Drosophila melanogaster: one gene and its partners. The protein of the gene in region 1 interacts with the protein of each later gene in a pairwise test. Each region holds a gene or a part of one and is shown on either strand. Other genes may lie near its edges. The genes, in order: AstC-R1, Ir85a, RpL15 and Hsp27.

What was found.
Region 2: the proteins of AstC-R1 (region 1) and Ir85a interact in a two-hybrid assay, tested with the Drosophila melanogaster proteins (one large-scale study listed by BioGRID).
Region 3: the proteins of AstC-R1 (region 1) and RpL15 interact in a two-hybrid assay, tested with the Drosophila melanogaster proteins (one large-scale study listed by BioGRID).
Region 4: the proteins of AstC-R1 (region 1) and Hsp27 interact in a two-hybrid assay, tested with the Drosophila melanogaster proteins (one large-scale study listed by BioGRID).

Annotation. Positions count from the first base shown.
Region 1 is NT_037436.4:18,557,152-18,565,795, reverse strand, and holds the start of AstC-R1 (allatostatin C receptor 1), read right to left. Parts: upstream 5,539-8,644; 5' UTR 5,092-5,538; intron 1-5,091.
Region 2 is NT_033777.3:8,790,279-8,798,722, forward strand, and holds Ir85a (ionotropic receptor 85a), read left to right. Parts: upstream 1-4,405; coding exon 4,406-4,638; intron 4,639-4,729; coding exon 4,730-5,890; intron 5,891-5,943; coding exon 5,944-6,367; 3' UTR 6,368-6,426; coding exon of another isoform or gene 6,427-6,658; 3' UTR 6,659-6,688; downstream 6,689-8,444. Other genes in the region: Pif1A (PFTAIRE-interacting factor 1A), read right to left, coding at 2,826-3,089, 3,700-3,813, 6,427-6,658, 7,046-7,623.
Region 3 is NT_037436.4:27,263,808-27,270,888, forward strand, and holds RpL15 (ribosomal protein L15), read left to right. Parts: upstream 1-3,447; 5' UTR 3,448-3,716; exon of another isoform or gene 3,717-3,784; 5' UTR 3,785-3,802; coding exon 3,803-4,111; intron 4,112-4,146; exon of another isoform or gene 4,147-4,216; intron 4,217-4,284; coding exon 4,285-4,590; 3' UTR 4,591-4,638; downstream 4,639-7,081.
Region 4 is NT_037436.4:9,381,088-9,388,710, forward strand, and holds Hsp27 (heat shock protein 27), read left to right. Parts: upstream 1-2,975; 5' UTR 2,976-3,098; coding exon 3,099-3,740; 3' UTR 3,741-4,607; downstream 4,608-7,623. Other genes in the region: Hsp23 (heat shock protein 23), read left to right, coding at 911-1,471; CG4080 (uncharacterized protein), read right to left, coding at 6,698-7,296, 7,355-7,623.

The DNA of each region.
Region 1 (8,644 bases):
CCATGAAAATAATAAAAATTATGAACTTTTGCCAATTTCAATTGATTGCTTTATAACAATTTTGCTTTGGCAGGGGGTGTGGAATTTTGTGACCTAGAGAAGTCCTCGGATAATGTGTACATTTTCTATATCTGCCCCACTGCGTCCACTTCCCAATTAACACTAAATCATGCTCTTTATTAATTATATTCCCGATTATGCTAGCATCGACGTCATTGAGTTTTCTATCATATCAGCTTTGTGTGGAAATCCAATCAATAAGGCCAGATATTGATTGGGGTCGGCTGGTGGGATGAACTGCTGGCTGGTGTCAATTGGGCAATCATTCATTTCGTCATTGCCATTAGGGCCGCTAATTGAATTGCGAAATCGAATCGGATGCGTAACGAAATCGATCGCTGCTGACTTTCATGCAAAATGATTTCACAAATGAAGTGAAAACTCCAACAAATTTGTTGTCTAATTCAGGGGTTAACAGGACATTGATTGATTTGGTGACTTGGCGGTGAAAAGCGCAGTAACCAAAGTTGGTTTTGGCTAGCTATTAGAAGTTTCATTTGAATTTAATGAATTTATTTTTGCTAGTTCATTGTTTGAGTTAAGAAATGTATTGGTGCAACGTATTGTATTTCTTGTTTCGTCTTAATTTTGCAACTAATTCTTTTTCCCATTGCATTAATAACCAAGTCGACTATAACAACATTGTTATTGTATATGACCCAGAGTTTGATAACTTTATGCCCCAGCTGCGACATTGAGTGAGCCCCCAGACTAATCATTTTTTGTATAAACTTGCCATCATTATCTACCGAACGGCATTGTTGTTTTTGTTTCGGGTGTGACTAACACTTTTGTTTTAGTTGTGTTTTCCTGCCGCTGGTGGCATTGTTATTGTGGCTGCTCTTTTGTCGTCATTAAAGTCAGGGCGGCCTTGTTTAATTTGAACATTAATCATGGTCTGACTCTTGGCGGGGCCAAAACTTGGGGGGCCCGTCGGGAAAACGCTTGCAATATTGCGCCCTGAAAAGTTGCACCTTTAATGAAGACGGGCAGGTTCCGCTGTTATTACTTTTCCGCAGACTTGCGTTGCACATGCGCAGCACATTTTCCGATAGCCAGAAGGAGAACGGTAAAAGTGCTGCAAATTCCTGTGGTGAAAGCTGCTGATGGACGCAAAGTGCCAACATTCTGATGCAAAACTTTGCTCCTTCACTTTCTCATTTTTTCTCTACGGCGAAGGATTCGTGTTCTTTATTATTTGCTTTAAGCAGCGCCTTAAATTTACAGGTTTGTTATATTTAATTCACAAAAAAATATCTTTAAAATTAAAAAATTAATATATTTGTAAAGGATCGTTATTTATATTCATAAACTTATGAATTTTGGCTTTAAAACTGGAAAGTATCAACATTTCTTGAACAAAGGTTTCGTAATATCTGCTGGATCTTATTTTATTCTTTCAACAGTCAGTTTTTAAAATGACATACCTTGAAATGTAGAATTTATATTTTCGGAACTCTATATTTCAATTATATTAGCTCATCACAATAGTTGGCATTACTCTTCCAAGCTTCCAACTGTTCAGACTGAATTCATCGCCATATTCCTATACTCGTACATCCCATCATCAGCCACTGGCAGCTCGCATTAATTGACAGTTTCGCCATCAGTTGGCCCAGATGGAACCCTAACTAAGTCCACATTAACTCGTCAATCATGATGTGGATGTTTGGATAGAGCCGCCCTCCCTCTGCGCCCATTCTCATTAATTCTCTTTTAGTAGGCCATTGCAGTCGGGAGGGGAGAGAGTCATTACAGTTGAATATGATATGCTACCCATCCCTTTAACCCCTTTGAATGCATTTCCATTTCCTTTTTAGTTCTAAAAAAAAAAATTCTAATTGCAGCAGATCTCTCTAATACAGAGCTCCTCCTATCCCGTTCATTATTATTATTTAATTTTTGTATTTTCTATGGGATAAGTTGAACGTAACCCACCGCCCGATCTAACCCCTTCTTAGTTTAGGGGTCTTGTCCGTAATTAATTGCAAAAGTTTTGTTCGTTTTCTGTCGTCTGGTGCAGCAGAAAAAGTTCAAAGTTGACGGTGCTGGAAAGACCCATCCGTCCGCAAGTGATGAGTAGTGAAAAACTGAATTGTCAATTATGATGCATAATTATTGAAAATTCTCTAATTAGCAGCAGAAAACTTTAACCCAGGGGCTGATTCTAGCGGAAACACTGGTTTGTGCCACTTAATTAATTATTTGGAAAATGTGATGGAAAAGTTTTACGCACTTTTCAGAAGGGAATTCCGATAAAATATAATATATTTTTTGTTATATGTAAATGAAATGCATCAGAATTTTGAAAACCCATTTTAAAAGTACTATAGTGTGTAAATTTATATATTTTGCTCAATATTGAATCATTTTTACGATTAAATTTAAATATTTAAATATTTGAGATTTTATTTGTTTGTGATATGATAAAATAAAGACTAAATCTAAATTTGTATTTTTGAGGGACTTTTTTGGATATTTTTTCGTTCTGATTAAGGAAAGAAAGTGAATTTTGTTTTGGGAAAGCATGAAGGATTGGGATATTAACAACGGTCTAATATTTCAGAACGGTTTCCCCTTTAAGTGAAGTTTGTGGGAATCCCTTGTGCGTTGACTAATTTCCGAGGAATTTCTGTGCATCCTTGGCCATCAATTTGTTGTCAGCAGCTGAGGAGGCGCCACATCAGCATCTCTGGCACTTGTTCCGCCATTTGAATCCGGTGCTCATCCTCTCCCAGTTGGCTGGTCCCTTCTCCTACTCTTTCCCCTTCCCTTTCCCTTGCCAGTGTCCTTGTTCTTGGCTAAGTCGGATCCTTTGAGTTGGGAGGAAATGCTATCATTTGGTGCCTGTCATCGTTGTGTTCGTTGTTGCTGCTGTCTGTTTGCCTGACGCCGACGAAAGGTTAAGGCATGCATCGCTTCCATCAAATTAGACGCATTTTCGACGCGCTTTGTCTGCCAGGCCCTCTCTATCTAGCTCAGTCGTCCGTCTCTTTCTCCCCAACTATGTCTGTCTCTCTCTTCCACACTTTTCCCTACACTTCCTTTACCCACTTTGGCAATTTTCTAGCTGACGCCGCTTTGCCTTTACGTTTTATCACTTCATTTGCACTGAAATGTCAATGTCTGGCTCGTTCCTTTCCCTTCCTTTTTCAATACCTTTGCACAGACTGTTCCCATTTTCACTTATTCAATGGGTTTTAATAAAAGTCCGGGGTGTTTTATACATTTTTTCTTATCTTAACCACATTTTTGCCAAATGCTACTTGGTATCAGAAACATTGACAAAATATGTCACCAATGGTGCAAACCTATAATGAAAGACTACAATTTTTAATGTCTATTCTGTTAAGATCCTTGATTTAAAATTATAAAATAAAACGGATTTAAAAGTGTACAATTTATAGTTTCAAGCTAAAAAATTGCATACTATATCAACTTGATTATAATTCATTTTTAAATGCAAAAGTAAAAGCAAATTAAAACACTTCCGATTTTATGTATGTAATGTATAAACTCACGAACAAAGATTTGTAAATTATATAATTAAAGGGAATATCTGATTTGTAAGAGCAATCCCAGCCTCGTCGGACGCCCAGTTCAGTTTCAAAGAGCATGGCCAAAAAAGTCAGGAAGGAAGCAGTTTTGTTGCAATGACGTGGGCGGTATTTTTTGTGGGTGGGCAATTGCTGAGTGTGGGTGTGTAGGAAGCATTGGATTGGATTGGATGGGAGGGGTTGTGTCCTGGCGCTAAAAGAAATCTGTCTGACAAATTACACGCCCCGAGTTGCAGAGTCGCAGCAGCAGCTGCTGAAACGCTTCGTTTGCTCCTCCTCCGTGACTTGCTCCTTCACTTTCGCCTGCTGTTTGCGTTGTCTTCCCGTGCTGCTTCTAGCTCCACATTCGGACTCAGGCCATCAAACCGATTGACTGAAGGATTGGGCCAGGGCACGTCATTCACTCAGTTAGTCCGTTAGTCAGCGAGTGCAACGGCCTTTTGATTGGGCTTTATGGTCATGGGGTGGCAGTGGCTATCTCCGCCTCCTTGTGCCTTTTAGTTGGTCTTGCGGGGAGGGGGTGTTCGGTTTTAGTGGACTTTACTTAGCTGGATGAGCTCATTCGCCGGGTTATCTGGTGTGAAGGGGGAACTACGGAGGCTAAAGGAACTTGAGTTTCATAGCTGAACAACATAGAGGGCTTCTATAAAAATTGTAAGTAGCTCATAGCTTTGGTTCTGAACCACTTGGTTAACTTTCTCATAATAAAATGGGAATTACTTACAATTAAATCAAGTTTACAAAATTCCACACCCCTAGGAGTAATGAGCCAATAACAAATAATTTCTGCTGCACTTTAATATGTATGCAGGATATTTATTAAGAAAATTACTTGTGGCCTTGGCATTTCTTTTCTTAAATTGGCATTTTTATTCTGCACATCTCACATAACGAATTAATCAACATGTCTCCGTAACAATTTCTGCATTTATTCTCAGCATAGCACTTCTCTGAATAACATTTACGACCATTCCAGCATTCCCTAATTTGTCAAATTTTGTTTCGTTTCCCCAAAATCCTTTCTGGTTTACTGCGGCTGCCGTCGATGGTCAGCCCTTCTCAGTTTCCACATCATCGGGCATCCTCGTTCCTCAACCCATCCCATCGCCTCGTAGGAAGACCAACCTCTTTCCCTCAACGCAAGACATTCAACAGTTACAAATTGCTATTCGCACAGAATTTCAGTTATCTGATAAATTTCAACGCACACAAACATTTGAACGTTGAAAATGGAAAACCCAAGCACAGAGCGAAAGTATTGCAAACCCTTCAAGTTAAACTATATTTATATTTAATTTAAGTTCAAAAACTAGAATTAGGATTATATTTATATGTAGATGAGGAGAGCTTATTTTTTATTTACTATATAGTACATACATATTTCTAATCACATTGGAGATAGATAGCACCCAATCGTTTTAGATGTGCACACAAGGCAACCCGTTCGATGCTCCTCGAGGCACATTTTGCTTACCACTTGAATATATTGTGTCATCTAGCCACTCATCCTTTCGAATCCGATAAAATGGCACACCACGCACTTTTCGGGGTTTTCAAAATATTTGGCAAGCGTTTCTGCAATTCCTCGGATTGCGACGCTAATGTTATTTTTCACTCTACGTCGGATTTATTTGTGATTCGACGGCGGCTGGTAGTAAAATTATTTGTTTATTTTCCTTGCGTTTTTGGCCGCTAATTTGGATTGGATGCAGGCAGCAGGAAAAGCCCCCGGGGGTTATCTATCACCCGCCCAACTTTTTCGCCACTCTCACCCTATTTGGTTTGAGTTTTTCGCGCACGTTCATCGAATTTGGTCTTTGGCGCTGGCGAAGTTTTTGTTTACTTTACCCTGGGTTTGCTCGTAGTTTGGTTTTATATTATTATTTTAGATTCAGATACAGTGACTGAACTGCACGTTCCGGTGTTGTTTTGCATACTGCGCGCCGCATTTGCCGGCGAATTTTGTTATGGTGCATGCGAGTTTTCCGATGCGAATTTTCCGATGCGAGTTTTCCGACTGCAGAGTCGCTCGGATCCACAATTGCGCTCGGTGCTCGGCTTTCAGGTTCGTCGCCCGATTGGCCTGATGCCTGATGCGTGTTGCGGTCTGCTGCCGTTTTCCCAGCTGCAATTTTCCTCAATTAACAGTTGGTCGGGAGAGCACGCGGTGAGGGAGACTCTCCCGCCGACACTTTCTCTCTTATACGAACTCTCACTTTCGTTGGCCAACAACAGTCGAATGTTAGCGCTTGCAGTTCTGTTGCCATTTTGGGCAAGTGCTTGTTGATTCTACTGGTGCCATTTAGAAGGATATAAGAACAAGGATTATCAAAGTATAATATTGAGATGTGTTGTCGCTATAGGTTAATCAAAACTACTTCCATGTGTTATCTATCTCATGCTAAAACAAGAAATTTTAAAAAGTTTTACCTTCCTTTGGTATCATGCTGTTATAAAAATTATTTCCAGTTATTTTGGACCTAAATTTAATTACTCTAAATTTAACATATATTAGCGAGCATATACCCTTATTTTATCAGATTTATAATTCCTTATAATTAAAATGTTCAAAATCGTTTATGGGATGGCTTACCGGCCGTATACGTAATGTGTTATTTATACTTTTACCAAATTCCAATAACACAAATGTGTTTGCATAACATATTATTTTCGGCACAATTGTTTCGTAGTTCAGGTATGGCACTGCATTTAAAATTATATCGGTATTGGGACAGTCAATGTTATAATTATAGTTGCAAATGTACGTGTATTAGCTTGAATTCGGAAAGGCTTTGATTGCTGATTGATTATTCTAGCCTTAATTGCATGCATTTTGCATACAGTTGTTTGCAATAATTGAAATCAGTAATGACATGGAAAGGAGGACAAGAAATGCATGCTCTCACAATTTACTTAGGATATGATATAGCAAGACTGTGCTATATCATATATATATTCTTAAAAACATTAAAAATATGTTCTTGCCTCGTTACCAAACATCACACTCGATATAAATCATTCATACATATTTTTTCCAAAGTTTACAAAGTTAGTTTGCAAATTTATCAGATATTTAAATTAAGTTTGGAAAGTGATTGCGTTTCAGATACCAATCTTTAGTTTCCTCCTACATTTTTTGGGTAAATAAATCATATCTCAGCACTGCCACCGTCTCAGAGCTCCAACTTAAGAAGCCCCAGGCGTCGAAATCTAATTGCCGTGCACTTGGAAAACTATCCACCTGGCCCAAACCCGGAGTTATCTCCCTTGCTCTGTTGGTCATTAGAAGAACAGGAAATTTTCCGTTTTTGTTCGCACCCAACTTGGAAAGAAATTTGCTGCAATAATTTCCATGTGGAGCCAGTTGATGTTTTCGTTTAGAAAAAAGTTCGACTTGGTTAGATGACAGTGAAAAAAAAGCTGGCAAACATATGGTAAGAGTTGGGGGATATCTAGAAGAAACTTTGGAAAGAGAGTGACACAGAAAATATGGCAACTGTCGACGTTCTTCGGAGTCAAACTTTAGTTTGGCCTTTTGAGCAAAACTTTTAATCCTTCTGGTTGAATTTCCGACAGTTTGCTTTAATCCTTTTCCGTTGGCACTGAAAAGTGCTTTAAATGCGACCGAAATTGGGAGATGTTTATTGTTTACCATTCCTCAAATCGTAAAAAGTTTTATCCATAGCAAAGTCCCCTCTGTGTCGTACACAAAACTTTAAATTAAATTATCTACCAGTGAAAAGTTTATATGTTTTAAATACCGCTCGAAGCACACTATAAAAAATATAGTTTTTATCGGTAAAATGTTGCAGAAGGTTCTATGAAAATGTAAATAAATAAATTTGGCTGGTTTAAAAAAATTACTATTAAGCATGCCATGTTAGAATTTATTTGTGTCTTGAATATAAGTCCGGAAAACAAGAAAATTTGAAATTAAGCCAACGACGTCAAAAGTGCCAACCAGTCAAAGTCAATAAAATGAGCCATAATCTAGGACATTGTACTGAATGGCATTGTCTTCGCTTAACGTATTTAAATTTGTTTTGTTACTCAAGGGCATTCAAAGATTTCATTACCAGCTTTTGCTTATTTGTCAGCCTCACTTTGACAACTGGCCGCAAAAATATGTAGCTTAATGTAGATAATTGAATTTCAAGAACGCATTTTTGCTTGTCCAGAGTAATTACTGCTGCTAGGAATCAGCTCATTAAAGTTTGCTTTGAAATCACTCCCACAAGAATATTAAATCATTTTCGACTTTAAAGCAATTTTCGCTTGATTGAATTAAGTTGGCCAAAACACAGACGACGTGGCTGGGAAAGTTTTGGGCGGTTTTGTCGGTGGCGTCTGGGAATGCAGACGCATAAGGACGACAATCTCGATGAGGGTCAGTTTATCATTTTAAAACCCATTCCCTGGACCTTTTCGTGGTTGCTCTTGTTGTGAAAAAGTTTTCGGTAGCAGGCAAACTTTTCTTATAAATTCTGTTAATTTTTTCCCTTATACTTTCCTGCACCGTTGAATTTCCATATAAATACCAGCAATTTTCCGAAATTGATTTCCAACAAGCTCGGCTAAATATTCAAGTGAGTTGGCAAAGTCGCGAGCCCCAATGAATTTTTAATGAACTCTGTTGGCCGATGTATGCAAATAAATAGAGTTCCCTATGCAGCTATTAGTTTGGTGTAATTTCAGAACTCCATTACGATAAATGGTTGATTTTGGTAGATTTACGCGCTCAGCAGTATCACAAAAATAATATGCAAATTAAATGGTATTGAAATCATTAAAGCGATATATTGCTGGGATAAAACTTAATTAATTAGTTTAATATCGATTCTGTGTTGTTAAGCTAATTTAGCTTTTGTGTATACGCAAATGAAGTGGGCCAAACACGATGCTTATATGGCTTTTAATTGGAAAATTGTTGTGGTAATAATATATTTTTCATACATTTTCTCCTCCATGAATAACATAGTTTGCGTTAATAGTGCAAGTGCTCTTGTTCTTTGAAGTAACGCCCCCCT
Region 2 (8,444 bases), on another chromosome or scaffold:
CTCGAATCATATTAGGCGCCAATCGTACAGGTGTATAAGCAATACGCCCCACCATTCCATTCCCATAAATCAGATTTCCCACACAAAACTAATTGTCTATGGACTACGCGTCGTATGAGCAATGCCCGTGAAATGAGTAACAAGTGCTACCAGAAATAGGAATCACTTAATGGCTTATACTATATGCATGCTTGTGTATATCTACTCTAGCTTTGGCAGTGGTCAATTACCTTGACATCCCTTCGGTTATAGTAGTAATCCATTGTCAGGCGTATTTATGCATTATTCCCACATATGATGTATGGTGCCGATTTTGGTTGACAAAAACAATTAGCCGCAATTTTCAAGTTTTCGTCTCTCGGCGAATAGTTTTCACCGTGGTAATTTCACTAAAACATCGAAATTTATAGACACATTCCGGCAAACGATCCGCGATTTGCATATGGTTCACATTTCCATTTCACACACCCCTTTTTTTTCTCTCTACCATGTCGTTTAGTTTTCTAGTTTTTGTTGTCTGCACACTTTTTGTGTTGTGATTACTTTGCATATTGGTCGACTGGCGTCTTGTTTTAGCAACATCATCATCACAATCATCATTACCAACCCATCCCATCCCATGCCATCCAAATCCATCCCATCGCTTTTACTGTCGTTTGGCGACGCCGATGGGAAGTTGGGGATGACTAAATTTTTGCAGGTCTCCGCAGCATAGTCATACTCGTAGCAACGTATCGTATTTAAAATAGCGTTAACATTTTAAAAGCTTTTCACTGACCCCAATTGGTGGTGTGCACACACACACTGCCCACAACCACACACTTTTTCCTTAAAGACTCTTGACTTGCAGGCGAGAGTGGTGGCTAGTTGGCTACTACACAGGCGAAAACATCAATCAATAAGGTGGAAAGATCAATATGCATTCGGCAAATAATGGCACAACGTCTTATTCAGTGAGAGAGTTTGGCTAATGCAAAGCTATTCGGTTTATAATGTAAAAACATATTTATTATAAACATAATTGTCTGCTGTTGGGCCTTAAAGTCATACAACTCATCTGGCACCGTACCTTTCTTTAATTATTATTAATAATAGCTGTTTACCAAAATTTAAGCTGTGCAGTTCCTAACCTTTTGACACTCGTTTATTGTAGCTATTACGTTTATTTTGTTACTAATTAAAACAATTTTTTTTTTGTTATATATTATACCTAACAACCTAATAACAATTAACAATCAACAACTAACAATTTCACCTTTTGGGTGTCGTTGAATTAAAAAATATTTTATGGAGCAGTTAATTGCGCACACACACACTTAAATGCTTTACTAGGTTGTTACCCTTAAATAAACGCTATTTTAACGAGTTTGCGATACACTTTTTCTCTGCGTGCATTAATTGATGTTGCATTTAATTCTTGCTGCTGCTGGATGACATCGTTGACCGATTGTTGATGATGTTGCTGCTGCAATTTGCTATTTCGCTATGCAAATGATTGCTGACTGCTAGAAACTGGCGCACTGGCCGACATTCGATCGCGGATTAAAGAGTTCTGGCAGATGCGAGCCCCGATTTCGATCGCGAATCCGATTCACACCCATTCCAGATTCCAGATTCCAGATCCAGATGACACGGCTCGGTGATCTCGGGATCTGGGGATCTTGGCTCTTGGACGTAACAAATGCTCGACTACTTTGGCGGCAATAAAACAATTACGAGAAATGAAACAGGCAAGATTAATGAACTGTTAAATCGAATTCGATCACTGGAACGTAACGCGGCTATATGGCTATATGGCTATATGGCCACGAATTGCCAGTTGGTGGCAGAAGGAGAGATGGATGGGGGCAACGGTGTGAAAGGCAATTAATTTTGATCGTTTTTGGCATGTTTCACTAAACTATTATAGTGCAAAGTCGGTGAAATTATGGTTTCGTGTGCGTTAGACAATGCCAAAGTGAAAGACAAACTGCGAATCGGTTTTCCTATTCAAAAGGTAACGATTGTTTGTGTGGCATTTGGTTCCTTCATTTTCGGCACAGAAATCCAGACAATGCACCCCGATACACGCCGATTTTCATTAGCGCCTCTTTTGACGAAACCACAACGATTCTGGGCCGCGAATTTCACCTCATTATGCACCGCTTGAACTCGGATATATACCCATTTGATTTGTGCACTTCACTGGCTGTTTGCTTATAGGATTTTTGGTATTATATCGGGGCTCATATAGTATCTCTGAGACACCTGCGACACCTGCGACCGCTGCGAACTTAAAAACCGAACTGACGGCCATTCATGCGAGCGGTAAACTCTCGAGCGGCGGGAGAGAAAGTGAGTGAGTGAGTGAGTGGTGCGAAAAACCGGCTTGGAATCGTCAGCTCCACTCTCTTTATCTCTCTTTCTCTCTCGCTCACGCCAGCGATCCACTTGCAACACTTGCGCTGCTGCAACTGCAACGCTGCAACTGCCGCAGCAGGTTTTTTTCTCACTTTTTTCCCTTTTTTTCGTTTTACTTTTTTTTCATGCCCACCGCTTATCGACGCGGCGATTGTTGTCTTTGCCATTCTCATAACTAACGCAAAATTATATCATAGATCATGCCAATAGTGCATAACCACAGGGGTAAAAGATACAGATATATCACTCGGGCACCATCGCCAGGCAGATACATATATGGATACACTTGCATCCCGAGATACAGATACTGTATCTGGCCAAGCTCTTAACTTTTAACCCGACTCTCCGGCAAGTTCAAGTGCTGCCCCCACTCCAAACAGCTATAACATAAAAAAAACGGCCAAAGAAACAAAATACAAACTCACCTCAGGTGTAACTTGAGCCTGGCGTATGGGATTTTGCTCGGATATATCTGTATCTGTATCTGGTTCGGTTTTAGCTTTTGTTTCTCCCGCCGCCTTCGTAGTGGGTTTCTTTGGCTTTTGGCTCGTTTCGTTGGGGTTCGTTTTGGGTTTCGTCGTCGCTGGCACTTTGGCTTCATTCTGCTTCAGCTTCTTGGGACTCTGCAGTGCCAGCAAGTCCTTCCTCAGTTGTCCTATATTACGTTCTTTGGTCTTTATTTCCTCTAACTGGAATAATAAGTAGCAGAGATTGGTTAGATTCATACTAAACATATGGAGTTTAGAGATATATGAGCAATACGTGTTCATCCACCTGTAAAACTGTTCAATAATCAACCAGAATTGGTCTAATATTTATACAAGCCCATGTTGGTGGCTCAATTCAGCGTTATTAAATGTTTATACCATTAATGGGAATACACAACTTGTTGTGTATGTTTTTAATGAGAACAAATGGTAGGTAACTATATCCCATTAGTTTGGTGTAAGTGCAAAAAGAAATGTTTATATGTATATGGTCTTACTGATTGAAACTAAACTCTAGTAATAACATCACGAAAAATGAAAATGTTTATACGAATATATGACCAGTAAATCAAAATGATATAAGGCTTATAATATGGGTACTTTATAGCAGCTAGTTGAATATGACCTGTTTTCTTGCTGTGCAAATTCAAAATGCATGTATGAATTTCAATGGTGGTATGAAAAGTTGCCCGTCCGCTTCTGAACCGCCGGGTTTCGTTCCGTAACGCTTCCCCCCCCCCCCCCCCATTCACAACCACTTCTTTTGAGCCAACTTTTGGTGACCCGTTAGCAGCCGCTACGCACAACTTACCAAACGTGTTATTTCAATTTTGGCTGATTTCTGTATGTGAGTCAATCGGTTTTCGTACGCGTTCTTCAATTGCCGCATATCGGCAGCCTTGAGTCTATCAGCCTGCCCCATAATCTGCAAGAAATGGTCGAATCATACATGTTTGCGTGTTGCCAACTTTTTGGATACGGGGCTCCAAGCAGCGGGAGATACCAGAAGCAAGTTAATCCATGCTGTTAGTTTGCACTTTGCGATTAGGTCGCGTACGTCCATTAACCAAACGAGACACAAAAACACACAAAAAATGCTACATAAAGAACGGGAAAGGAAAGTTCTTGCCACAGTCGAAGAATCGCATACCCTTCATAAAAAAAAATTAAAAAAAACGAAAATTTTACAAATAGCAAACACCTAAAGACTTTCACTTTATTGAGTTATATGCCTACTTAAAATTCATCGCACAATCTTGGGAACTATAGAGGGTTACTAAAACCTGAAATTAAAACAGTATGGAAAAGAATATTTCTGTGTTAATTAGGTAATGCAATCTGTAGGCAGTAACTCGCAATGTTCCTTTTACAGGGTATAAAAGTGCAGAAGATATAGCATAATATTTGCTTAACGCCCTTTGCCGATATGGCAAGCATTAGGGAAATTGCTATATCGAAATTGGCTCTGGGTATAAAAACAATGGTGTCATCCCTCTGCTCAAACAGTTGGCATTGCAATGTCCATCCAGTGGCTAAAACACATTCTGCTCCTGGCAATCCTGGTCAATTTGGCCGGGACACGGGAGAATCACATTCCGTTAGATTTGAAGAAAAGTTCGATCGTGATGGTCAAGATGAGTCAGATCCTCTGCAAGGCTCGGATTAAGGTCCTGTTCGTCTACTTCGAGAATCAAACCTCCCACGAGCATACGGGTCAAATACTCAAAGAGGTGACCAAGTGCGACATATCGTACATATCTCTCAGGCAAGTTGATCATTTAATCCCATAACAATACTGATAACATATAATAACCACAAATATTCGAATATTTTACTTTCAGGAATCAAAATACACCACTGGAGGCGGTCAAGGATGATGGCATACTAATGTACATGGTGATGATCACCACAAACATATCACAACCATTGGAGCTTTCACTTATCCGGAAGAAATCGGCTGCCAAGCATCGATCGCATGTTTTTCTCTTGGTCAGAGATGCGGATACCGTTTCCGATGCTTGGATGCGGGCCAGTTTCCGGCAATTCTGGAAGATATGGCTACTGAACATCGTGATCCTCTACTGGCGAGATGGACGACTGAATGCCTATCGGTACAACCCGTTTATGGACAACTATTTGATACCAGTGGACAATAAACCAAACGAGGTTCCAACTTTAGAGCAGCTTTTCCCAAAGACCATACCCAATATGCAGAGGAAGCCGCTGAGAATGTGCATCTACAAGGACGATGTGAGGGCAATCTTCTGGAGACAGGGAACTATCTTGGGGACCGATGGCCTGCTGGCGGCCTATGTGGCTGAGCGACTGAACGCGACCATGATGATAACGCGTCCGCACTCGTATAACAACCACAATCTCAGCTCGGACATATGTTTCCTTGAGGTGGCCAAGGAGTACGTGGATGTGGCCATGAACATTCGTTTCTTGGTTCCGGATACCTTCAGGAAACAGGCGGAAAGCACGGTATCCCACACGCGTGATGATCTTTGCGTGATTGTGCCGAAAGCCAAGACTGCTCCCACTTTCTGGAACATATTTCGCTCATTTGGCTCATTAGTTTGGGCCCTAATTCTGGTTTCTGTTCTGGTGGCGAATGTCTTCTGCTACATCCTGAAATCTGAAGTGGGTAGGGTTCCCATGCAACTTTTCGCCGGAGCCCTAACTATGCCCATGACCCAGATTCCGCCAAACCACTCGATCCGATTGTTTCTGATCTTCTGGCTTTACTTTGGACTACTTATATGCTCGGCATTCAAGGGAAATCTGACCAGCATGATGGTGTTCCAGCCTTATCTACCCGATATAAACCAATTGGGTGCGTTGGCTAGGTCCCACTACCACATCATCATTCGTCCAAGGCACGTAAAACATATCCAACACTTCCTAACCCTGGGACACAAGCACGAGTCCAGAATTCGGGAACAAATGCTGGAAGTTTCCGACACCCAGATGTACGAAATGATGAGGAACAATGACATAAGGTATGCGTGTACGTGGATTAATTGCTGTAATTCCATAAAATCTACTTTCGCAGATTTGCCTATTTGGAGAAGTATCACATCGCCCGTTTCCAGGTGAACAGCCGTGTGCACATGCACCTGGGTCGTCCGCTTTTCCACCTGATGAACAGCTGCCTGGTGCCGTTTCACGCCGTTTATATCGTCCCCTACGGTTCACCCTACTTGGGTTTCCTGGACTCACTGATCCGGAGTTCGCATGAGTTTGGATTCGAGCGATACTGGGATCGCATCATGAACTCCGCCTTTATTAAGTCTGGAGTAAAGGTGGTAAACCGTCGACGCGGGAGTGGCAATGATGAACCGGTGGTCCTCAAACTGCAGCATTTCCACGCCGTATTCGCTCTGTGGCTGGTGGGGATCGGGATGGCATGCATTGTGCTGGCCTGGGAGCACTTGACCCACAACTACAATTTGGCGGTAACAAAGCGGCGGGACTAACTATCGCATGCAGCATGCAATGTGAGGCGGATGATTGTGTTGATGTGGCGTCCACTTACCTGGGTCTTCTCCTCCTTGTTTCGATTCGCTTCCTTCAGCACGGCAATCTCGTTAGTCAGTCTTTGGATTTCATAGTTGATGAGGCCATCGGCGGTCACATGTGCACCACTCGATTCTGGGCCCGATTCGATGGCCTTCTTTATACCGTTGCTCTTCTTGGCCATTTCCAGCGTATGCTGCAACTTCTTCACTTCACTCTTCCACCGACGACTATCTGCGTCATTCTGAGCCCTGGGTTGAAATAAAAAAGCGATAGATTGCATTTTTTAATGTCTCTTTAAATTCAAAAGATCAGATCGAAATGGGTTTTAATATCAAACGTGTGACTATTCTATCATATTTTATATCTAGATGAAACCAGAAATATTTAAATGTAATCTTGAACAAACTGATTGCATGTATATTTATTTCCGAGTTTACTGATTGCCAATCGTCACTTTCATGAAAGGTCAAATATGTTTTCAGTGCACGAATACTTTTAAAACGAATGTATTTGTATTTGATAACTCAATTTAAAAAGTTTCACAACATTATGCAATATAAAATGGTGCGATTAAGGTAAAATGAAATGGGCTTATCACGTTCCTTATTGGTATATATGTATATTAATGGACTTACCTTAAGGCTCTCACTGCACCGCGTTCTGTGATCAGACTGGACTTCAGTTCATTTACCTCCAGACGCAGTTGCTCCGTGAGGGCATTTAGCTTCTGGATGGTGTCCATGTTCTCCTGCAGTTTTCTCTTGATCCTTTGTGGAGGTGCTGCTATCACATTTGTGGTAGTCACGCCACCAATTATTACGGGTCGTTCTCGATCTTTTTCTGCCTTTCCCAGTTGCTTCTGGGAGCCGGCAGATGGGCCCTTCTCGGCCTCAAAGGATTGGGTCTCCTTGGGTCGCAATTTGCCGCGACAATGCAGCTGGATGCCCTCGATGCGAGTGCGCTTCTCCTGATTCACCGTATCCCCAACGGAAGTCAGGGAGCTGCTCAGTTTCTTCTTGCGCTTCAACTTGTTCTTGGCCATCGTTTGCCAGTCTTCGATATCGTGCTTCTCCGTGTGGAAGCTCTCTTTGAGTTTGGAGCCAGGATCCGTCCGGCGGACCACAGTCCCATTGTGGGGCGCCAGGATATGGGCGGTCCTGCTCATTGTATTACATCCCTTGCTAGAGGTCGTTTTGGTTTGGTTTTCAGCCATTTTTATGTAACTTTAGTATATAAAAATGTTGCCGTCGTTTTTTTTTGGGTTTCTGCTTTTTCAAGTACTGCATATGCCGGTGCACCCCGATCCTGCCGAAAGTCCCTGCTATACTTCACCTGGTCATCGTTGGATTCTCCTCAATCTGTAAGCGATATATTCAAAATAAAGTATACAATAATGTGGCTTTAATAATGCTTTAAGCATATACAATAAAAGCCCTACTCTTATCTACTTATTACAAATTATGCCTTGAAAAATTACACAGTATACAGAATTCCGAGTCTTTGCCCGCATGGAGGTTGTTTCTTCAGAATCGCAAAGATTCCCCTTTGTCTGTCAGCATTTCAATGGCTTCTGTTTAGCCGTAGACTCTTCAACGCTTTTCTTCACTGGGTTGAACTAATCAACAAGTTTCCCCCATTATTGATTTCAGCGGAAAAGCTTTTTCCTTCATTTCGCCACATCGGGTCGGGCCACACATATGAATGAAAAACGAAACATATAGGCACCCTGGGACTGGGAAATAGTTTACAACGCCAATTGCGTTGGGCTTACCAAATAAACTGGTCCGGAATGACTTTTCTTAATGACGTCATGTGGCGCGCCTTTTGGAATAGAACAGAATATGTACGTACATTCATATGTACATGTGTTTTTTTTGTTTTGTGAGGTTCCCCACTGGGGCGCTTTACACGCAATAAAACCGCTTTTCATTACTTTTTTTGTTCTACAGAAACAGAATTCTTTGCACTGCTCCCACATCCGCCCCAAAGATTATAACAAAGCATCTATATATATACTGTATGAGGTGCACACAC
Region 3 (7,081 bases), 8.7 Mb from region 1:
CAGCCGTGGAGTGGGAAAACGATCCTTTATTGAAAGCACAATAAAAGCAGTGCAATATCTGGTCTAGTTAGCAACAACAAGCCAAATTTTAAGTTTTACCACAACATGATCAGAAACATAAAGAGTGCAATGTACGCACCTGGCTCCTTTACAACTGTGGTAAAGTGATCGGTACGCCTCTTTAGAGTCCTGATCTGAACCCCATTGAAAATTTGTGGACCTACTTCAAAAAGAAGGTGGCAAAAAGGGCCCTGAAACACGACAACAGCTTATGACTGCAATAGTCAAATAGTGGGAAAAGATACCGCTTAAATATGACCTCCAAAAACTTATCTATTCCATAAAAAAAGTCTCCAACTTGTAGCCAATGACAATGGGGAACTTACTACATACTAAAACTTTTAAAATTTTAATGAAATAATTTAAAAATTTAGTATTATACTTCGATTTAGTGTTTTGTGTAGAGTTTCTTGATAGTCTCAAAAGTGTGTAAACTTGGAATTTGTAGTTTATTTTCTGGTATATTTAATATTTTCAATTTGTTTAAGTAACTTTTGATATAAGTAACTTTTGATATAAGTATTATAAGTAAAATAAATACTGTTTAATTATATTTCATAAAAAAATGCGTTTAATTAAGCAAAGAACCCTTAATTTCTACCTTTAAAGACAAAAATTCCAATTATTTCACAGTGTGTACAGTGACAAACTGTAATCATAATAAAACACAAACTTTGACTTACCTCCGCGCTGTCTGAACTCATTTTACCCAATGACAACATGAAGAATTCTGAGCACTCTGAACTACTATTACTATCATTGGCTCATTCATTCTTTAAACGCATTCAGTGAGTTCATTTAGATCGGAAGCTTAAAAGAGAACGCGGCCAACTGAATGGCATGCATTGTGAATACGCAGTGAAACGAATGAATACTCTAATTGAAAACAAAGAGAAGGTGTTATGCAGCACTCTAATATGTATGTCGCGAGCTATGTGGCACTGGCGGTATTGCAGTAGAAGTATTGCCACTGAGGAAAGAAATCAGTTCGACACAAATAATCGGTACCCAGGGGACACCACGGAATTATTTGACCTTCGAATCGACTTGAAATATTATAATGTCAAACATTTCCATTTTCCCCAATTTAGCTATTTTTCTAACTATTGCTTTTCATTTTTATTATATTTTTTTGTCGTTTTTGGCATTTATTAATTATTTTCAGGAGTCAATTATTTAAATATCTTTTTTATTTTTCTCTATCAACTATTACAGTCCACTTGCTATTCTTAAAAACAAAACATTTATAATTTTGTTTAACATATCCGTTTTATACGCATAACATTCATTCTTTACATAAAACCATAATGAGAGAGCACTACTTTTATTTGTGCGCTTAATGCATTGCTCAACAAAAAATATTTTTGTATACAGTATTTTCATAAACTTTTATGAGTATTTTGCAAATATTAAAAAATATATCAAAAATAGATACGTATCGCAATTACTATTCGAGCTTTCATTTTTGTACTATACTATTAAATATTTAATAGTATATATTTATATTTATATTTATTCAAAATGACTTTTATTGAAAACAAACTCGGTTATTAGCGAAAATTTAAAAAAAAAATCGAGTAGCTCTGCATATAGTAAGCTTTACTCAAACGGATTAGAGAAATTAAAAGGAAAATTAAAAAAGTTTTCTTCCCACCATCAAATTGGAATATAAGAAAATAATTCTACTGAATCTAATTTAAATTTAAAATTTAAAATTTAAGTCAAAAGACTTAATAAATATTTTACATAATTAAAGCATAGACAAAGGGAATTATTATAACTGCTGTAATTTGAATAAATAAATAAACCATAAATTTAAAAAAAAAGTCAGTACATTGAGAAAAAAAATATTTCATAAAAATAAAACATAGTAGAAAATAAATAAAAATATGAAATCTGTTTAGTGCAAAAGTTATATCTGGAGGCACTGAGTGCGGACACAAGCTATCATCAATCATTGTTGTCATAATTTCTCACACCTCGCAAACGTAATACTCTAATTTGTGACATTTAAATAGATTCGGTTAATACTACAATATTTCTATGCTATATTTAAATAATAATAGCACTAAGGCAATGCAGAGAAAACATATTTCACATGATGCCAATTGACCGAAATTATTATAGTTATTATTATAAATTAGTTATTATATAAATTATTATAGTTATTCTAGTGCCAGCAACCGGCTGCAGAGCTCTCCGGTCTCTGGCTCTGACTGTTGTTATTCTAGTGCCTATGCAAATAACATTTGTCGCTTATGAAATTGGTTACTTTCAAAACATTTTTAAATCTGAACCTGTATATCGGTATCAAAAATATAATCGTGCATGATCCGGTAATCGAATTCGTATGAATTTTATGATTCCGCTTTTGGTCGTAAACCAATTTTGACTTTTGTCTGGCCGAAATGTAAAAATGCCTTTTAATACCCGTTATTTGTAGAGTAAAAGACTTACTGGATTCGTTGAAAATTATGTAACAAGCAGAAAGAGCGTTTACGACTATACAAAACATATTATTGAACAGGATCAATAGCCGAGTCGATCTAGCCATGTACGTCTGTCTATATGAACATCGAGATCTCAGCATACAGGTTCTAGAGGCAAAGACGCAGCGCAAGTTTGGTGACCCGCCCACTCTAACGCACGCAAACCTCCAAAAACTGGCACGCCTACACTTTTGAAGAACGTGTTGTTTATTTTTAACATTTTAATTATTTTTATAATTTTTTTTATTTGCAACAAAATTTTTTCGCACTAGCTGAGGAACGGGTATCTGATAGGCGAGGAACTCGCCTCCGATGTGACAAGCACACATTTGCTGTCGACAACAACAAATTTCGATTTGCTAAGGTGTCGCTAAGTACGTCGTCAAAAGTTATTGCGGGAAAACGAAACAGGCAGGTAAAAATATTTATACCATATATTAAAATGCTTTCATTAAAAAATAAATAAAAACTGTGAAAAATGGGGTAGCTATTTTGTATGAAAAACAATTGCAAACAGCAATTTCTGCGTCCGTCTGGCTTCAAAACAAACGATTTCAAATATATAAAGGATATCTTCACGTTGTTTGATTTTGACAAAGAAAAAAGTCAGTTGTTTGAGCAGCAAGAAACGAAATAAAGCGAAATAGCATAGAAATAACGCATAGCACTATAGCAAAAATTATTTGAAAACCAGAGCACCTAATAACGAAATTAAAAGACTTTTCCCAAATCGAATGCGATAAGATAAATTAACATGGAACGGAACATGCTGGGATGTTTTAAAAATAATACAATTCTGTGAGAAAGGGGTATAATTCCGTTTTACAATGTTTCATGCATTAGGGTAAGTATATCCCAAAGCAACTCTGAGCTTGTTTGTCGTGTGATCCAACTCATTGCTTCCTTCTTTTGGAATATTTCCGTGCTGTAAGTTGGTTGTGCATTCGGGTCAATAATTTTTCTTTAGTACGAGATCATTTCGGAAATAAGTTTATATATTATTTTCGGTCCTTTTAAAATGTTTTTAAGTTTGTATGATGATTTTTTCCATGCACCACTCTGAGCTCAGTGTAGATTATGGATATCTGACGGATGTTATGTTCGTTTTTGTACTCACATTGCTATGTAACATTGATACGAATTATTATCTGTTCTAGATTGTAATATGTACAGTTTAAGAAGTTGATGGACCGATGATGTGACAGTTATAAAATAAATAATGAATTTGTTACTAGGTCTATCAAATTGCAGAGATGGGGGCTTATCGGTACATGCAGGAACTTTATAGGAAGAAGCAGAGCGATGTGATGCGCTACTTGCTACGTATTCGCGTTTGGCAATACCGCCAACTAACGAAATTGCATCGTTCGCCAAGACCTACTCGCCCGGATAAAGCAAGACGTTTAGGATACAGAGCCAAACAGGGGTTCGTGATTTATAGAATCCGTGTTCGCCGCGGAGGTCGCAAGCGTCCAGTTCCCAAAGGATGCACTTATGGCAAGCCGAAGAGTCATGGTGTAAACCAGTTAAAACCATATCGTGGTTTGCAATCCATTGCTGAGGTAAGAAAAAACGAAATTTGCTAACCACACGTTCGAACAAGTTGATGACAACCCCTTTTGACATACAATATATGTTGACATTAACTTCCTTAGATGTCTGAAATATTCTTGTCCAATTAAGAGGTCCTCACCAAAAAACACTGAAATATATCATGAATTTTATTTTCTTGTAGGAACGTGTTGGTCGTAGACTTGGCGGCTTGCGAGTTTTGAACTCGTATTGGATTGCGCAAGATGCTTCTTATAAATATTTTGAAGTAATCTTAATTGATACTCATCACAGTGCTATTCGTCGTGATCCAAAAATTAACTGGATCTGCAAGCATGTCCACAAGCATCGTGAATTGCGTGGCCTTACATCAGCTGGAAAAAGTTCGCGTGGCATTGGCAAGGGATATAGATACTCCCAGACAATTGGTGGATCTAGGCGTGCTGCTTGGAAGCGCAAGAACCGTGAGCACATGCACAGAAAACGATAAATTGTGAAGCATTTATTTTATCGGTTAAATAAAGCACTTCGTGCACGCAAAGAACATATCTAAAAAATATATTTTTTGAAAAGAGCTTTTAAACGCAAAAATAGATATAGTAACAGGTTTTCGCATTTTTGGTTTGGCATATTGGTTTATTAGGAATTTTGGTTTAAAATATAAAATTTCTTTCATCTACATTAACTTCCAGTTTTTATTTTCAAAAATGTACTAAGACCATTTTTCGGCAAGACTCCAATTCTTTTACAAAAAATTTTAAAATATATGCAAATAATCCCTTTTTCGTTTAGCGGATCTAACAAAAAAGTACCTCAAGGTTGAGCAAAAAATCTCATTTGAACGACGATGGGCACGCAAACGTATTTTTGCTTGTTATAGCTCTTCTGCTTCATATCTAAAAAATGCCATATCGAAAGATATTGGAAAATGAAACAATATTAAATTTAAAAAAATGTTCAAAAGCGAGGGCGTGGTTGTTTTGGGACTTATGTAGGTGTAAGAACGGGCGTGGCGGCTTGTATTTAAATAATATTAAAACGTTTTTTGAAAAGCTTAAGCGTGACAACATTCGGAAACACAATTGCGCTGCGCTTATTGTGTTTCTGAAAGCTGCAGGCTTAATCTCAAGATTTTACCCTTTATAGTTCCTAAAATCGATACGTTCATACGTTCAAACGAGCATGGCCAGATGGACTCGGCTATTGTTCCTGATCAAGAATATGTGCATTTTATATGGTTGTAAACGCTTCCTATTACCTGTTAAATTCTTTTCAACGAATCTGGTATAACCTTCTACCAAAGACACTAGAATAACAAGATGCGTAACGGCCATACATTGCTCTCTGTCCGCTCGCTTACGCTTACGCATTAATCTATTCGGTTCACTCTACTTTGGAAAAACCTGAAAAAAATTAATACATTTTTTTCCATTTTTTTTTTAAATTTAAAAATAAGCCTTTAAATGATGTAAAAAGCCTTGTATTATGTGGTTTAAATAATACAGTGATAATTAAGCATCGATGTGCATGGGCGGGCACTAGCTATGAAATGAATGACAAGGGAGACTTAATTGCAGGGCGATCTGCAAGAGTTCGGGAGCCATGATGCTCCCTCAGCTTATCTACATATGTATACATATATGTATGTTCATAGATGAGCATGGATTTGGACAATTATGTCACCAAAGTTTACAATAAAACAATTTCAGAACTGCTGGCGACTGCGAGACCAATGAGTTCCTTAATTTTTGTAAAATTGTTACATATAGTGCAAATCGCTCTATTTAGATTACGATTTTCCTTTAATTGGCAAGTTCTCTAATTATACGTTACTCTTAGAAAGAGTATAAAGGTTATAAGGGTATTAGCTTCCAATCAGTATATAAATGTTGATTTTTTTGTAGTGTAAGTAGATTACGAAAAGCGGAGTATCTATAGGCAAGAGTTTTCTTAAAAAACATACTTCGGAAAACTTCTGGATGTTAATTTAATATTAATTATACATTTTTCCTCTATGATTACCGCCAACTCCAAAAGCGTCAATAAAAAGTTAATTTCCTTTTTTCTTACAAAAATTAGACAACTACATCATATATAAATGAATTAGTTACTAGTGTTATAGAGTAACTAAAGTTGCCGTTTAACGTCCCAATGAAAGACGGAGCGATTATTTCGTTACAATTTTATTTGCGGAGACTGAAGCTACCAGTGAAACCGCAACACATATCGTTGCGGATTAATGTTCATAGCGGCCACGCAAATATATGCATATATAGCATTATGCATACTTTGAAGAATGCGGTTTCTGTCGCTTATTTTATCTGGCCGTCCGCGGACGTTAACTTTAGTTGGAGGACGCCCTCGGCCGACCTGATTCCGGCAATCGCCACATTCAATTGCCTTGTAGCTCTTCTGGCCCTTAGGATACGCCAGCTCACGAGGCCAACGCAAAATAGCAGACAACATACTGAAGCCATGACAAGTGCCACCTGTTGTGGGCGATCAGCGTCGATCTCTTCCTTGAATTTCCGGATTGTCTCCAAATTGCTTTCACTCAGGCGATGAAGGTAAGGGAGGCTGAGCACATTCTGCGCAGTGCGACACGCCGCCAGCGTGGAGCTCTCTGGCACATGAGCTGCCCGACGACAAGTGACAAAAGGCGGTGCTGTTCGAAGCCGTGCAGTCCAAGACGGTGTAGACTTCGTTATTACATTCAGCGATGACGTTGTTGGTGATTCGCAGCACGACTCCTTGGTGGCTAACGGGGAAAATAGTAATCTTTTTGTGGACTGAAGCACTTTTACGGACAACACGGACATGAGGTCTCCTATGGGGGTGTTCGTGGGCTCCTCAAGCCAAAGTCTGCGTGATCGAGAATATTCGGGATAACGATATTTTGAAGCTCCATCATAAGCATTCTATTTCTCGCCAGAAAGGTTTCATACAAATGATTGGAGTCAATTTGTGACCCCTTTGCCGTC
Region 4 (7,623 bases), 9.2 Mb from region 1:
ATATAATAAAAGGTTACAGCCTCGTTTTCAATAAACCAAATATTGACTATTAGAATTTATTAAATGTTTTTAATGTTTTTTGGTTTATGTTTTCATCTATCGACCTTTGAAATTCAAAATAGTTGCATTACATTTTATTCAAATAATTTTTACATCCTTCGAATCCTTTATTGTATGAATGTACATATGTTCCAAATCGTATCATTTTTACATTTTCTTACTGATTGGAGTAATAATACGCTTACATCCCATGGGTTATTACCTACCCGGCATTAACCACTTATGTATTTTAATTAGATTTCCCCACTACAGAGCCCCATTCTTGGATATTAATTAAAGTTAATAGCTTAAATGCCAGGCCATAAAAAGAAGAACTGTTCTGCAGTCTCGAAGTTTCGCGAATTTACTCCATCCTTCGTGGAATATACTCCAACCTTCCTATCTGCTATGTATGTACATACATACGTGCTTACATACGTACATCTATACATACACATAATATTTGCCGGTGCTGATGCGACTTATCACTCCACCAGGCCTTTTCATTCCCACTCCCCTAGGAGATTGCTCATTTTCCATAGCGATACTCTCACTTTCAATGGCAGATAATGCGTAATTGCGGCAAATTCGAGAACTCTGCGATATTTTCAGCCCGAGAAGTTTCGTGTCCCTTCTCGATGTCGATGTTTGTGCCCCCTAGCACACAGACACGACGCGCACACACACAGCGCCGACGGGCGCACGCACACTACGATAGCGAGCGGTTGTATAAATAACCGGCACTTTCGTGCAACCGGCGTCAGTTGAATTCAAAAAGCCAAAGCGATAACAGCTAAAGCGAAAGTAACCTATCAACAAAAGAAGTTTATTCTTTGAAGGAGAATCATCTTGAAGCAATTAAAAAACAAAAATGGCAAATATTCCATTGTTGTTGAGCCTTGCCGACGATTTGGGCCGAATGTCGATGGTGCCCTTCTATGAGCCCTACTACTGCCAGCGCCAGAGGAATCCCTACTTGGCCCTGGTTGGACCGATGGAGCAGCAGCTGCGCCAGCTGGAGAAACAGGTGGGCGCCTCGTCGGGATCGTCGGGAGCCGTGTCGAAAATCGGAAAGGATGGCTTCCAGGTCTGCATGGATGTGTCGCACTTCAAGCCCAGCGAACTGGTGGTCAAAGTGCAGGACAACTCCGTCCTGGTGGAGGGCAACCATGAGGAGCGCGAAGATGACCATGGCTTCATCACTCGTCACTTTGTCCGCCGCTATGCTCTGCCACCCGGTTATGAGGCTGATAAGGTGGCCTCCACCTTGTCCTCCGATGGTGTCCTGACCATCAAGGTGCCCAAGCCACCGGCAATCGAGGATAAGGGCAACGAGCGCATCGTTCAGATCCAGCAGGTGGGACCCGCCCATCTCAATGTGAAGGAGAATCCCAAGGAGGCGGTGGAGCAGGACAATGGCAACGATAAGTAGAGGACTCGTTCCGAGAGATGCCCTGCATTATTTAACCATTATCAAAGTCATACATCTGTTTTATAAGCTGTAGTTATCCAAGGACACTTCACTCATACACAATAGCCATTAAGGGTGTCCTGCTTTAATCTTAGTTTGGAATATGTATTACTAAATTGGCGAAATTAATATTACCCATAAAAATAAATAACAAGTACACTTACTTATAATTGTGTTTGGTCTGTTTTTCTGGTTGGTTATGGGTTACTATTACTATTACTTTGGGAATTGTTTGGCTAGCTTGGCCCTTTTTCCTGTGATCCCGGTTTCTAGAATTTACTTTCTGCATTGTATATTGCATTGTTGTGTCACGTAAAATGGCATTTTTATTTAATTGTTGTTTGTGTACATAACTGACTTTTTACATTACTTCGGTAAAGAGACTTGAAGCTATGAATGTAAGGAACTTCAGTCAAGGTTAAATCCTTATGTAAAGCATGCATAAGTACATCATGTACATACATACGTACATAAGAATATACATCCCTTTTCACTCTCTTCTTTTTAATGAATTTCTGTCATCTCTACAAGAGATGTACGTTATGTACGTCCTTATAGCACGTACCTATGTACATGTATAAATTGAACTTCATTTTTGTATGTTACCGCAAATAATTACGTGCATGCACACATACACATACATATGTATGTATGCATGTAGTTTTGAAAATAATTATGTATTTTGGTTAACTGGTGAACCAAGAATAAAAAGATTCTATATACACATATACATATATATAGAAATGTATGCATATGTACATATAATAATCGAAACACTTGCAACAGACTGGCAATGATTTGCAAAATTTTCAATTGCCCCGTTTCCCACTTCGCGAAGCAGTGGCGAAAGCAACTGCAAAAATGTTTGCAACAAACAAAAGAACGGCAAACATGAGGAGCAGAACGAAGCGAGACAAGGGTTCAATGCACTTGTCCAATGAAAATACAAGCTCTGTTGCACTCTGAAAAGACAGCTTTTAAAAGAGCGATAAGAGAAGAAAATGCTTTAAATAAATACATATATCTGCATATATACGTACATGTACATACATATGTATGTACTGCATTTTAACTGTTCGTTTTGCTTTTTATTCGCAAAGAGAAACTCCCCAGAAAAGAAATGTCAAGAAGTTTCTGGTTCTTTCTCCCTCTCTCTATGAAAAGCCGGCTGTGCTAGAAAGAGCCAGAAGATGCGAGAGAAAACTGTTTGTTGAATTACGGGGCGTATTCAAAGGGGCTTTTAAATGTCGCTTAAATTTTAAGTTTGACAGGCTAATAATTGCTTGCCTATATCTAAATATTATTATATTTGCATTAGGGGATCATAGGGAAAACCTTCTCTGCAGGCAAAATCTAACGAAGATGGCAACCCCCCATCATTTTATTAAAGTTCCGTCCCTGGTTGCCATGCACTAGTGTGTGTGAGCCCAGCGTCAGTATAAAAGCCGGCGTCAACGTCGCCCGAGCACAGTCTAAACTGAAAAATTGAAGGCAAACGTTGAAGCAAACTTCGCTAAAAAAATTCGAAAAAGCAAAAAAAATTCCTTTGTCTAGACAGGGTTGTGAATAAAGAGAAAAAAAATCAAAAATGTCAATTATACCACTGCTGCACTTGGCCCGGGAGTTGGATCATGACTACCGCACCGACTGGGGGCATTTGCTGGAGGATGACTTCGGTTTTGGCGTCCATGCCCACGATCTGTTCCATCCGCGTCGCCTGCTACTGCCCAACACCCTGGGACTGGGTCGTCGTCGTTATTCGCCGTACGAGAGGAGCCATGGCCACCACAATCAAATGTCACGTCGCGCGTCGGGGGGTCCAAACGCTCTGCTGCCCGCCGTGGGCAAAGATGGCTTCCAGGTGTGCATGGATGTGTCGCAGTTCAAGCCCAACGAGCTGACCGTCAAGGTGGTGGACAACACCGTGGTGGTAGAGGGGAAGCACGAGGAGCGCGAGGACGGCCATGGAATGATCCAGCGTCACTTTGTGCGCAAGTATACCCTGCCCAAGGGCTTTGACCCCAACGAGGTAGTGTCCACTGTCTCATCCGACGGTGTGCTGACCCTCAAGGCCCCGCCGCCGCCCAGCAAGGAACAGGCCAAGTCGGAGCGCATTGTCCAGATCCAGCAAACGGGGCCTGCCCATTTGAGCGTCAAGGCACCGGCACCCGAGGCTGGCGATGGAAAAGCCGAAAATGGCAGCGGCGAGAAAATGGAGACTAGCAAGTAAAAGACGAAAAGAGGAAGACTAGGAGATGAAGAAGACGAGAAGAGGAAGAAGACTAGAAGAGGAAGAAGTCGTGAAGGAGGAAGAAGACGACGAGATTCGCTGGCGAAGCACGAGAGAAAGAAGAATTTAAAAGAAGAAACGGGAGTGTTGCCGCGCTGCTCGGAGAGAGCAAGACTAAAAAGGACACACCACAACACACCCAATGTATTACATTCACACACATCACATCATTACATCATCATCATAACATCCTAGACTAAGTGATTTTAAACTCCATTTATCATAATGCATAAAAAAAACAAAATTTTAGTGTGTATTATTAGGCTAAACAACTGGAGGATTCATTGCTCCCTTTGAGTTTATACTTTTTGTAACAAGAACAGGCGCAACACTCGGGAGAATTTTGCATTTCATTTGTGAATAAACGAATACAATAAATACAAATACACGAAAAGAAGTCAGCTGTCGAGTTTTTGTTGGTTTTTTTTCCTTTTTAGCTTCGAATCTGCAAATGTATTTGCATTTAGGGTAAACCGGCTTTTGTTGGGTGTCGTTAACTTTCAAGGGGTCTTATGTACATATTCTGTTTTCCTTGTCCTTGAATTGGACTTGTGGAAAATTAAATGGTCAGCCAATTGCTTAACCTTTGTCGACGATTGTTATGATGATTTGTAATGATTTTGCACAATTCAGAAATCGATATAAAAAAAAATGGGAAATGATTTTTGTTTTTCAATTACATTTTGACAAACGTCATGCAAATATTTCCAGTTCCGCGCACACTGAAAGAAAATCCAAGATAAGAACGACATTTAAATAATTTAATCAATTGTTTGCACATATTTATTTAAATATTTAATACATAATAAAAAATTTAGTTGCCCGTTCTGATTTCATATTGGTTGTTTTATGCTCGTAACTTGTAGCGATCATAAGTATTTACTGTTAATTCTATATCTATATCTAAAACGGCTTTCATTCATATTTCTCAGCTGGGTGTTGAGATACGGATATATCTCAGTTTTCTCGGCTCCGTGGAGCTTTCGCTGTTAACCGCGAAAAAGCTTTTAGTGGTTGTCATGTTGCTGTTGTTGGTTTTATCTTAGTTGATGTTAAGTAAAAATGTATTTTATGTATTTTTCTGCATTTTCTACGGCTGCGGCTGCTGTCAATATGTTTTTGCTTGCATTTATGCACGTTATGTATGTATATTCAATGACGCTTAATCACAGATCAATTTTTTAAAATTTCATTTGACTTAGAAGTTAAGAAACAAAACACATCCGAAGCACGAGAGAAAGAAGAATTTAAAAGAAGAAACGGGAGTGTTGCCGCGCTGCTCGGAGAGAGCAAGACTAAAAAGGACACACCACAACACACCCAATGTATTACATTCACACACATCACATCATTACATCATCATCATAACATCCTAGACTAAGTGATTTTAAACTCCATTTATCATAATGCATAAAAAAAACAAAATTTTAGTGTGTATTATTAGGCTAAACAACTGGAGGATTCATTGCTCCCTTTGAGTTTATACTTTTTGTAACAAGAACAGGCGCAACACTCGGGAGAATTTTGCATTTCATTTGTGAATAAACGAATACAATAAATACAAATACACGAAAAGAAGTCAGCTGTCGAGTTTTTGTTGGTTTTTTTTCCTTTTTAGCTTCGAATCTGCAAATGTATTTGCATTTAGGGTAAACCGGCTTTTGTTGGGTGTCGTTAACTTTCAAGGGGTCTTATGTACATATTCTGTTTTCCTTGTCCTTGAATTGGACTTGTGGAAAATTAAATGGTCAGCCAATTGCTTAACCTTTGTCGACGATTGTTATGATGATTTGTAATGATTTTGCACAATTCAGAAATCGATATAAAAAAAAATGGGAAATGATTTTTGTTTTTCAATTACATTTTGACAAACGTCATGCAAATATTTCCAGTTCCGCGCACACTGAAAGAAAATCCAAGATAAGAACGACATTTAAATAATTTAATCAATTGTTTGCACATATTTATTTAAATATTTAATACATAATAAAAAATTTAGTTGCCCGTTCTGATTTCATATTGGTTGTTTTATGCTCGTAACTTGTAGCGATCATAAGTATTTACTGTTAATTCTATATCTATATCTAAAACGGCTTTCATTCATATTTCTCAGCTGGGTGTTGAGATACGGATATATCTCAGTTTTCTCGGCTCCGTGGAGCTTTCGCTGTTAACCGCGAAAAAGCTTTTAGTGGTTGTCATGTTGCTGTTGTTGGTTTTATCTTAGTTGATGTTAAGTAAAAATGTATTTTATGTATTTTTCTGCATTTTCTACGGCTGCGGCTGCTGTCAATATGTTTTTGCTTGCATTTATGCACGTTATGTATGTATATTCAATGACGCTTAATCACAGATCAATTTTTTAAAATTTCATTTGACTTAGAAGTTAAGAAACAAAACACATCCTACACATGGACTAAATAATTACCGTCTCTGGTTGGTTTTTGGGCTTTTTGGCATGGACAACTTAGTGGACATACATATATGTATATGGTATGGGATCGGAGAGGCTGGATAATAAAAGCAGTACACGAATAGAGGATAAATTATACATCGATTTAGCCACTAAATCAATATACTGGTTCTAAATGTTAAGATAACTTAACTTAACTTTTTTTTTTGTGTTTTGTGTTAATCATTGCAGTCTCAAATTGTTTATGGGCTTTGCTATATAAAGAGGAGAACATAGGGATTGTTGGGCCGCTGGCCACGATATGGCTTTTGAAGCCCCTTGGTGTGCGGTATAAAAAATAGTATTTCGATTTTACTTTCTATGTGGATCTCGGGGTCTCCGTCGACCAGCGGTGAATACTTGAGAGAGCAGAGCTTATTGGGGGGAGAAAGAGCGCGCAGATCATAGTGGATCACATCAGATCAGTTGGGCAGGATACTCCATTTCACTTCTGGAGTAGACTTTCACAGCTGCTGCTGAGATTTGGCAACGACTTGAAACTGAGCCGCGAGCGATCCACCTGGGCGTCCGAGGGACCGTAGCCCCTGCTGCTCTTGCTGCTGCTGACCCCATTCACTCCGCGGTCAAAGGATGAGGAGATCACAAGCTGATGGGAATTCCGCTGCTTCTGCTGGCTGCTGGCATAGGCGGCAGGTGGTGATAGTGGCGATGTGGGCAGGTCGATATCCAGCACGGTATCCGCTTCGCCGGCCTTCAGCTTGGGATCCGAGTAGCGACGTAGTTCCTCCTTCGTCGGCTGACCACCTAAACAATCAGTGGTGCAGCAACCAATGGGCAAATCAACGCCCATTATCCCAGAGTGACGGTAGTCGATCTTTGGCGGCGTGCTGTAATCGTAAGGATGTACGGCAGTATCGGGACCCACGCTGGTCTGATCGCTCAGCACATCGCGGTTCTCGAGAAAGATGGACGAGTTGGAGTAGCGCTTTGTCTGGTGCGGCTTGTAAACAAATCCGCCTAGCCCGTTGGCTACTGCATGCGATACTCCGGAACTGATCGAGGGTGCCTTGTGCTCGCCACTACCTGCAAGCAAATATGGATTAGCGATATGTATAATTATATAGCAATAAAAGGCATTCACCACTAAAGCTGCTTAATTGCAGAGCGTGCTCGCGGCCTGTATCCGTGGAAATGCCGCTGGCACTGAGATCCTGCCGTGATCCGGCGCACAGATCCGTAGCAGAGCCGCGACTAGAGCCCTCCGAATGCTCCAGCACGTTGTGTATGGAGTCGTGGAAGGGCGTCATGCTGCCCGATCCCTGAGGACAGGGTCGGAATGATGAGATCTGCGAGACCACATCATCGAGGGCCCAGTCGCGATCGTAATTGTGCTGTGACTGCGAGCACTCG